Danio rerio: one gene and its partner. The protein of the gene in region 1 interacts with the protein of each later gene in a pairwise test. Links are inferred from orthologs where the notes say so. Each region holds a gene or a part of one and is shown on either strand. Other genes may lie near its edges.

What was found. The genes of interacting proteins can lie anywhere in the genome.
Region 2: the proteins of kifap3b (region 1) and ncf2 interact in binary tests that used the Homo sapiens proteins (3 or more experiments, as listed by UniProt). The two-hybrid records come from large-scale screens. The link is inferred for Danio rerio from reciprocal best matches to the Homo sapiens genes KIFAP3 and NCF2.

The regions. Positions count from the first base shown.
Region 1 is NC_133177.1:26,583,510-26,587,009, reverse strand, and holds part of kifap3b (kinesin-associated protein 3b), read right to left. Parts: intron 3,336-3,500; coding exon 3,223-3,335; intron 2,481-3,222; coding exon 2,315-2,480; intron 1,124-2,314; coding exon 998-1,123; intron 1-997. UniProt on the Homo sapiens protein: Involved in tethering the chromosomes to the spindle pole and in chromosome movement. Binds to the tail domain of the KIF3A/KIF3B heterodimer to form a heterotrimeric KIF3 complex and may regulate the membrane binding of this complex.
Region 2 is NC_133182.1:41,684,690-41,688,723, forward strand, and holds the start of ncf2 (neutrophil cytosol factor 2), read right to left. Parts: upstream 2,801-4,034; 5' UTR 2,759-2,800; coding exon 2,585-2,758; intron 2,441-2,584; coding exon 2,358-2,440; intron 859-2,357; coding exon 750-858; intron 563-749; coding exon 428-562; intron 1-427. UniProt on the Homo sapiens protein: Subunit of the phagocyte NADPH oxidase complex that mediates the transfer of electrons from cytosolic NADPH to O2 to produce the superoxide anion (O2(-)).

The DNA of each region.
Region 1 (3,500 bases):
TAACCACAAATTCAAGCAATTTCCAAGACAGCATTTAACAGTTGCTAAATTAGTGAAATAAATCACCAAACTAATAAATAATACCTCAATTCAACTGCATTTAACATTGGTAGGGGAGGCGGTGTAATCTCTGTTAGATCATGTTGCTTGCACAATCCAAAATAAAGTAATCCAATCTCAGCACCTGATAGCTCCTCCACTTCTGCTCTGTTATCAAAGCTGTGACCATTGACTGTTCAACTATTAACACTTAATTTTATTGGTTGAATAAATATATCATCCAAGAATTAAAATGGCACATACTATTTATAGAATTGTCAGTGTGAATACACTACTTATACTATATATATTACAAAATGGTGTTGAACCAAGCATAAGCATGGAATTTGGGATGCACTTAATTTGTTTGCTCCCTTCAGAAATGACTCTCACTTAAAATGTCAAATAATCAAATGAAGTCCACTTCAGAGTCCACTAACAGTAAAAAAAAAAAAAAAACATTATTTGGCCTTTAGCTCACCACCTCCCAAGCCTCTAAAACATTACTTCTTTCCATGGCAAGGACGAGCCCTGCCATCAGGCATTTATTGAAATGAGCGCTCATATTGAGCAGATCCAGCAAATGTGATGCATGCCATGAGCCCGGCGCTTTCCTGTTCCTGAAGACACTGTCACTTCCCAGCACACAATATGACTAAGGCCTGTTTATTTATTCTAATTCATTTTAATTTAATATTAGTTTAGTCTAAATAAACTATTCATCAGATCCCATTAGGCAAGACAAAGCACGCCAAATTGAAATCTGGTACTTGAGAGGCTACAGACACGCAAAGCAGGAGGGTCAAACAAAAGCTGAAATCCAAACACTGTTGATCTTTTCCTCTGGAATTTGTTTTTACGGCTAGCGATAATGAAAAAGATTTGGAGATCAGTTTTGTTTTCTTTGAGCACTGGCTCTGTGATAATAAATGTATGTAAAGGCTGGCAGAGCTCTTACCGTTGAGTAGTTCAATAAGAGCAGGAATGATTCCGGATTTCGCCAGCATGACGGCACAGGAGTCGTCCATTGAAACCGTACCGATCATGATAACCACCTCCAGGATCATATCATCCTCTGCTGAGCCTGAAACACACAGAGAACAAAGGTCAAATACTGTGTGACATGATGAAAAAAGATGCGTTGTACTGCTTAAACAAGAAATGTCCTTTCACATGCTTCAGAAAGTCACACTTTAAAAAAAAATTAAAATTAAAAATGATCTCTATATCATTTTTTACAGACAACTAGACTCAGTTTACTCAAGTTTACTTAGGCTAAATGTTGTTTTATAGAGACATTCACTATATTTATTACATTTAGAGTCACTATATTATATATATATATATATATATATATATATATATATATATATATATATATATATACATATATATAAATATAAATACACACACACTTCCATTTTAGCTCCACTTTTTTCTACACTGAATATTGATTCTGAATGCTGTTAAATTTAAAGGGCACCTATGATGAAAATCATCTTTTGTTAGCTGTTTGGACAGAGCTGTGTGTAGGTATAGTAAGTCAACAGTCATATTGTGGTAATATCAACGCAATAGGTCTTTTTTTAATTTCCTGACGTTAAAATAGAATCCAAATCTCTCCCATTTAGAGGCCCACCACAATGTAACATAGGAGTGCGTTTTTCAACACCCGCTGAATTGATAAACAGCCACATATGAACATGTCTCTACAGTAACGCCTGTAATCATATCAAGACAGCACAGCATGTGCAAAAAGCAACCAGGATTAAAAGATCTGTTCAGCTCTCTGTGATCATCAGTTTGTAATAGACAGTAAAATCGCTACATAATTCATTACCGCAGCCACATAGTGTCAGTACAATTATAAAAGAAGACGATTCTATCTAATGTTTATTTTGTACATTAGCATAATGGGCGTCCAGTGGATACTAACGTGTATCATGTCACATTTGCCGTGCAAAAACAGTGCACAGCTAAACGTGTGTATGTGTGTGTGCATATTTTGTAAGGACAATGTGTGTGACTCATTATTCCAGAAAGGCTTGAATTAACTCCACAACAAATATTAAGTAAGGGAGAACTGCTTTCTTTTTGTCTGTCACTGCTGCTTTTGTGTGAGATGCAGCAGGAGAAGCTACACCTATTATTGAGCACCATTTGTCCCTTGAAACAGAGTTGAACCTTTCATAAAGAGCAGATTTCCCTAATAACCTTAACAATTGTATCTGTGCTGTCTTTTACATCAAACACATAAGGCTCATGTTAACTGTACCTGGTTTGAGGTGGTCTTTAAGGAAGGGCACCAGGTTGTATTCTTTCAGTAGAAGCTCCCAGTCCAGGTCAGGTATGGTGAGGTTTGCCATTGTGCCCAAACACTCAATAACAAACTCCTCATCCCCCTCTTTCTTGATCTGAGCTGCCAGATCACCCACATAGTCCTGAAGAGTACACAACACCAAATCATCATTAAAACAGTAAATTACAATTTTTTTTTTGCTGTCAATATACATATAACATATTTTGTAAATATTTTAAATAGCGCTGCACAACATTGAAAACATTTTTGGCATTGTAATACTTTGTAAAATTTTGTTTTTCTGCGATATATATTGCAATGTGAATACAGTTTCACCATGTGTTACAAGTAGATACAAAAATAATTGTGTAATAAATAGTGCTTTATTGTTTTCTGGGGGAGTACACAGTATTTAGTTAAAGAAATTGAATAATCAAATGTGAAATAACATGGTCTTCATTGTATAAAACCTTCCTTAAAGTTACAAATGTTACAATTTGTTTTGCCTAAATGCTTTAAACTTCTGAAATTCTCACAGTCACAGGCCTTAAAACAAATGATAAACTTTCACTCTTTCATGGTTAAACTGTGCAGTAACTCCACAAATCTCACATGTTCTAAACTTTGTTGCTAATCAATTATAATCCAGACTCAATGTTGAACATCCTGCGATGCGACTACTGAGAATGTACAAAATGTAATATTGATGCTGAAACTATATATTGCGCAGCCCTGATTTTACATTTGAATTGTATTCACGATCTCTTGTGTTCCACAGAATTAATAGTTTTTCATTTAAAAGTGAATGATAAAAGTCATTGTAATCACATGATTAATATGCTAATAAGTATTTTTTGTAGAATTGTCAGAAATAATGTACTTACAATGAACAGCTGTTTCAGAGGTCCATCGTGTTGTGAGATGTTCCTAATCATTTTCATTAGCAGTGGGTCCTTTAGTTTAAGTGCTCTTCTCATTAGCATTTTCAGTCCATTGCCTGCAAAACAAATCCACAAACATTCATGTTCAGCTGGAGACTGATCATACATTTGAACAGATGTCATGTATTATTCATTACAGAAGATCATCAGTGACAGTACAATAAAGCACACAGGTCAATGCTTCTAACAACTCAGTGTTAAGGTGAAAATGAGACACAGTC
Region 2 (4,034 bases), on another chromosome or scaffold:
CTTTTACTGTGTTTTCTGGTGTTTCCTTGACTCATACTTTCACAATTTACTTTGTCTGTAAAATGCGTACAAAGAATGATGTTCATTTTACTAGAAGGATGACTTATGTAAGGATATCGGAGTATAAATCATCTGTCTCGTGAATTTTGACCTTTCTGAAACTTACACAACTTCCCTCAAAATCTAACCAGAACCTCTGATTGTGAAACAAACCAAACATAACCACTTTTTAGACAAGTTACGAAAGAACAAGCTTTCGTTGCCTCATATAACAACCAAAACGTTTGAGATGAACCACAGAGTATTAGGTCAACATATAATTCAATGACTTTCAGGGCCAACTTGTAAATTAAAACAGGAATTTAATTTATGAGTCCTAGCAACTGATAATCATGTTTATGATAATGAAAGTTAAGCAGATACAGACCAGAATGGCATCCAGCGCATGATCAATATGGCTGAACTTGGCATCTGCTCTCAAGCTCAGAGCAGTGAGAAGGTTCTCTTGAGCTTTTTCCCATTTTCCCAACTGCGCCTGTGCCAGTCCAATGTTGTGCAGCACCTTAATATTACACAAGACAAAAAGACTGCTTTAGAGAATGAACTGAGGTGACTGTTAATGTCAGATGTTGCAATATAGGAGAAAACTCTTGTGAAAAACCATCAAGTCAGAAATGGAGACGTGTAAAATGTCACTCACATCACAACTATTAATAAGTCAGTAAAGTTGAAAAAATATCTGGACTTGCCTCACAAGCATAAAGTTTATATCTCAGCCCCAGAGGTGTGTAATCAATTAGTTGATTCCCTCGTAACTGCTTAAATGCTTGTTGGAAATCCAGAAGAGACTCTTCAAACCTGGAGAGAAGGTTAGGATCATCAGTTTATTAAAAGTGGAATGAGATATTTTGTGATCGGCTCTTAAAGCGGCGGTCCACTACTATATCACATTTTAAACTTTAATTGATGTGTAATGTAGCTGTGTGAACATAAACAACATCTCTGACTGTAATACGCTCAATGCAAAGAGAGACATTGGCTTTTACAGAGTTAGCTTAGCAAAGCCGACATTGAACAAAATTTGAGGACTACAAAAAATAAAAATAAAATCCAGGTTAGTGAGATCACAAATGCTTCAGGTTACATGCATTTACCCTGCAGAGCGAATGGGCGTGGCCAGAGGCGCTGTATGTTACAGCAAAAAGAGATAAAATGCCATCCAATAACTGCAATTTTCACAGAGCATCTTCTGTTACTGTATTTAAGCTTCCAAAGGACACGGCACAAGGAATTCCAGAAAATTATGAAAATATATAGCTCTAGCATTTGACAAAGGAGAACTTCCTGAATCTCTCCCAGTTCAGTGCTGGTTCGGCTAAAAACCAACCAGCAGCTCCAACCATAATCAAAGAAGCTGTGGTTTGAGAGCCACAACCTGTAAGTGTTTTTATTTGAGAAAACTGATCTATTACATGCACAGTTTTAAGCGTTAACATTATGTTGTAGTGAGGATGTAAACCGCTAACAATTTAGCTACAAATTCATATTTCTCCATCAAATCTCTGTAAACAGTCACAATCTTTTGCAGCGCTACAGTGTAACTCCATGTGGACGCTTTCCCTGTGTTCTACATCTGAAATAACAAACTTGCAAAAAATATGCAAATGTTTCATATTAATTACACACATGCTTATTCTGAATATATGTGAAAGACACTTGTTAGATTTTATTTTAGAGAGCAGGCGTAAGGTTCTGCTGTGTCCTCTTCATTTTCTGTTTGATTCAGGCTCAAACTGATTTGGCTCTGACCGACAGTATTTACAAAGCAGAGACACAGCGTGCAGTATTAAAGGCGTGATGCTTTTCCTGGTTTGCAAATTATGCACATTATGTTAGCTGACCAATCAGAGCCTCTTGAGGGCGGGCATTTTCATGTTAGCTGAGTATTAGCGTATAATTAAGATATATGAAAAATAATGTGATTTTCTACAAATCAAGCATGATCACACATTGCTTTGCTTCTTATAAACACATCCAAGCCTTAAAAATACACTCTAGACCACTCTTTTAAGTACCTTGAGCCATCAGAACAGCATAAAACGTTTACTTAATAGGATGGTTCACCAAATTTAAATTTAAATTCTCGTCATTTACTCACGCTCAAGTGATTCCAAACTTCTGTTGTACACAAAAAAAGATGTTCTGAAGAAACCGATAGGCATATCCATAGTAAAATAGTATGGAAGTCAATGGCTGATTTTTTTTCAACTGTCTTCAGTTTATCTTCCTTTGTGTTTAATAGAAACATTTGGGTGAACTGTCCTTTAAAGTGTCATGACAAGAGGTAATGATCTTACTTTTCCTTTTTATAAAATGTAACTCCTCTCTGAAAAAAGGCCACGGCCAGGTGTTCATCTTTGCCAATGCTTCCATCAAAAGCCTGCAGGTGTGAAACAGAAATACATTTCCCATAAAGAATAAAACTACTTTTACTTCCTTTTTACAGCCACAAATATTTTAGACTTTCAAAATACAATTCAAACATCAAGTAGTATAAAACATTGATTCAGCCATACAAGAGTACCTTTTCAGCTTCATCTAAGTCACTGTTGTTCAGACAAAGACAGCCGATGTTGAAAGCGATCTTGGAGTTTTTCTCCTCGATACTGAGGAATATCCTGAGAGCAGCGTCTGGGTCTCTTTGCTCCACACAAGCCACGGCCTCATCCCACTGGCGAAGGGTGCTTACGAAGGACATGCTCCCTCAAAACACGGTGAGCAGTGAACACATGAATGCTGCTCGTCTCTGTTGTGAACTGAGCAGAGGCAGTCTGAAAGAGAACAACCCCCAGCCTCTGCTCTGAGAGAGGAAGTGATCAGCTTCACTTGCTTCTGGATTTGCATTTGCCAGTTGAGTAAGTCCACATTTGTGGAGTTATTGTCCCTGTTATATCTTCGATTTTAAAGCCATGATTAACTGATTTTAGACTTCTGCCTAAATTTAAACCCTTTGTGGGAAATCAGATGTTTGTAACAGATCATGCAGCTTGACCTCTTGACACCTTAATTTCACATAATAGAGCATGGCCTTTTCTCATATTTATAGCACTGAGAAACAGGAGGTCAAGGTTGAACAATTTCTGTTTTAAAAAAACAATAAGAATAGACTTCAGAATGATTTTGCTTGTATGAATTCAAAGGTGGCATCACAGTGGCGCAGTGGGTAGCACGATCGCCTCACAGAAAGAAAGTTGAGGGTTTAAGCCTTGGCTGGGTCAGTAGGCATTTCTGTGTGGAGTTTGCATGTTCTCCCCATGTTCAGGTGGGTTTCCTCCGGGTGGTCCGGTTTCCCCCACAGTCCAAAGACATGTTGTACAGGTGAATTGGGTATGGTGTATGTGTGTGAATGAGTGTGTATAGATGATTGCCAGTACTGGGTTGCAGAGAGAAAGGAACAAACTGTGTAAAACATATGCTGGATAAGTTGGCCGTTCATTCTGCTGTGGCGACCTCAGATTAAGCCGAAAGGTAGAGGAATGAATGAATGAATAAATTGGCTGTCCTATATGGGCGTTTCCTAGTGTTGGGTTGTGGCTGGAAGGGCATCCAATGCATAAAATATATGCTGGATAAGTTGGCGGTTCATTTTGCTGTGGCAACCCCTGATGAATAAAGGGACTATGCTGAAAAGAAAATGAATGAATGAATTCAAAAGTGTGCCAATAAGGTGCAAATAAATTGTACTTAAAGATCAAGTATTTTAAGTGTACTTTATGTATGCTAAGTGAACTTGTATAATAATGTACATTACTAACAAACAATACTATTTGAAACTGAATTGACCCTTTTTTAAATAACCTAACACTATTATTTTAACTTATTAAATTAAAAATGTTACGTCGTTCAAATTGTTAAATAGACTCCTTTATTACTCCAACTTCACTTTGAAGCACAGTAAAACATAATTTTATTTATTTTGCAAGTATAATTGCACATGACGTGACCGTAACACCAAACTTCTAGATTAAATTTTG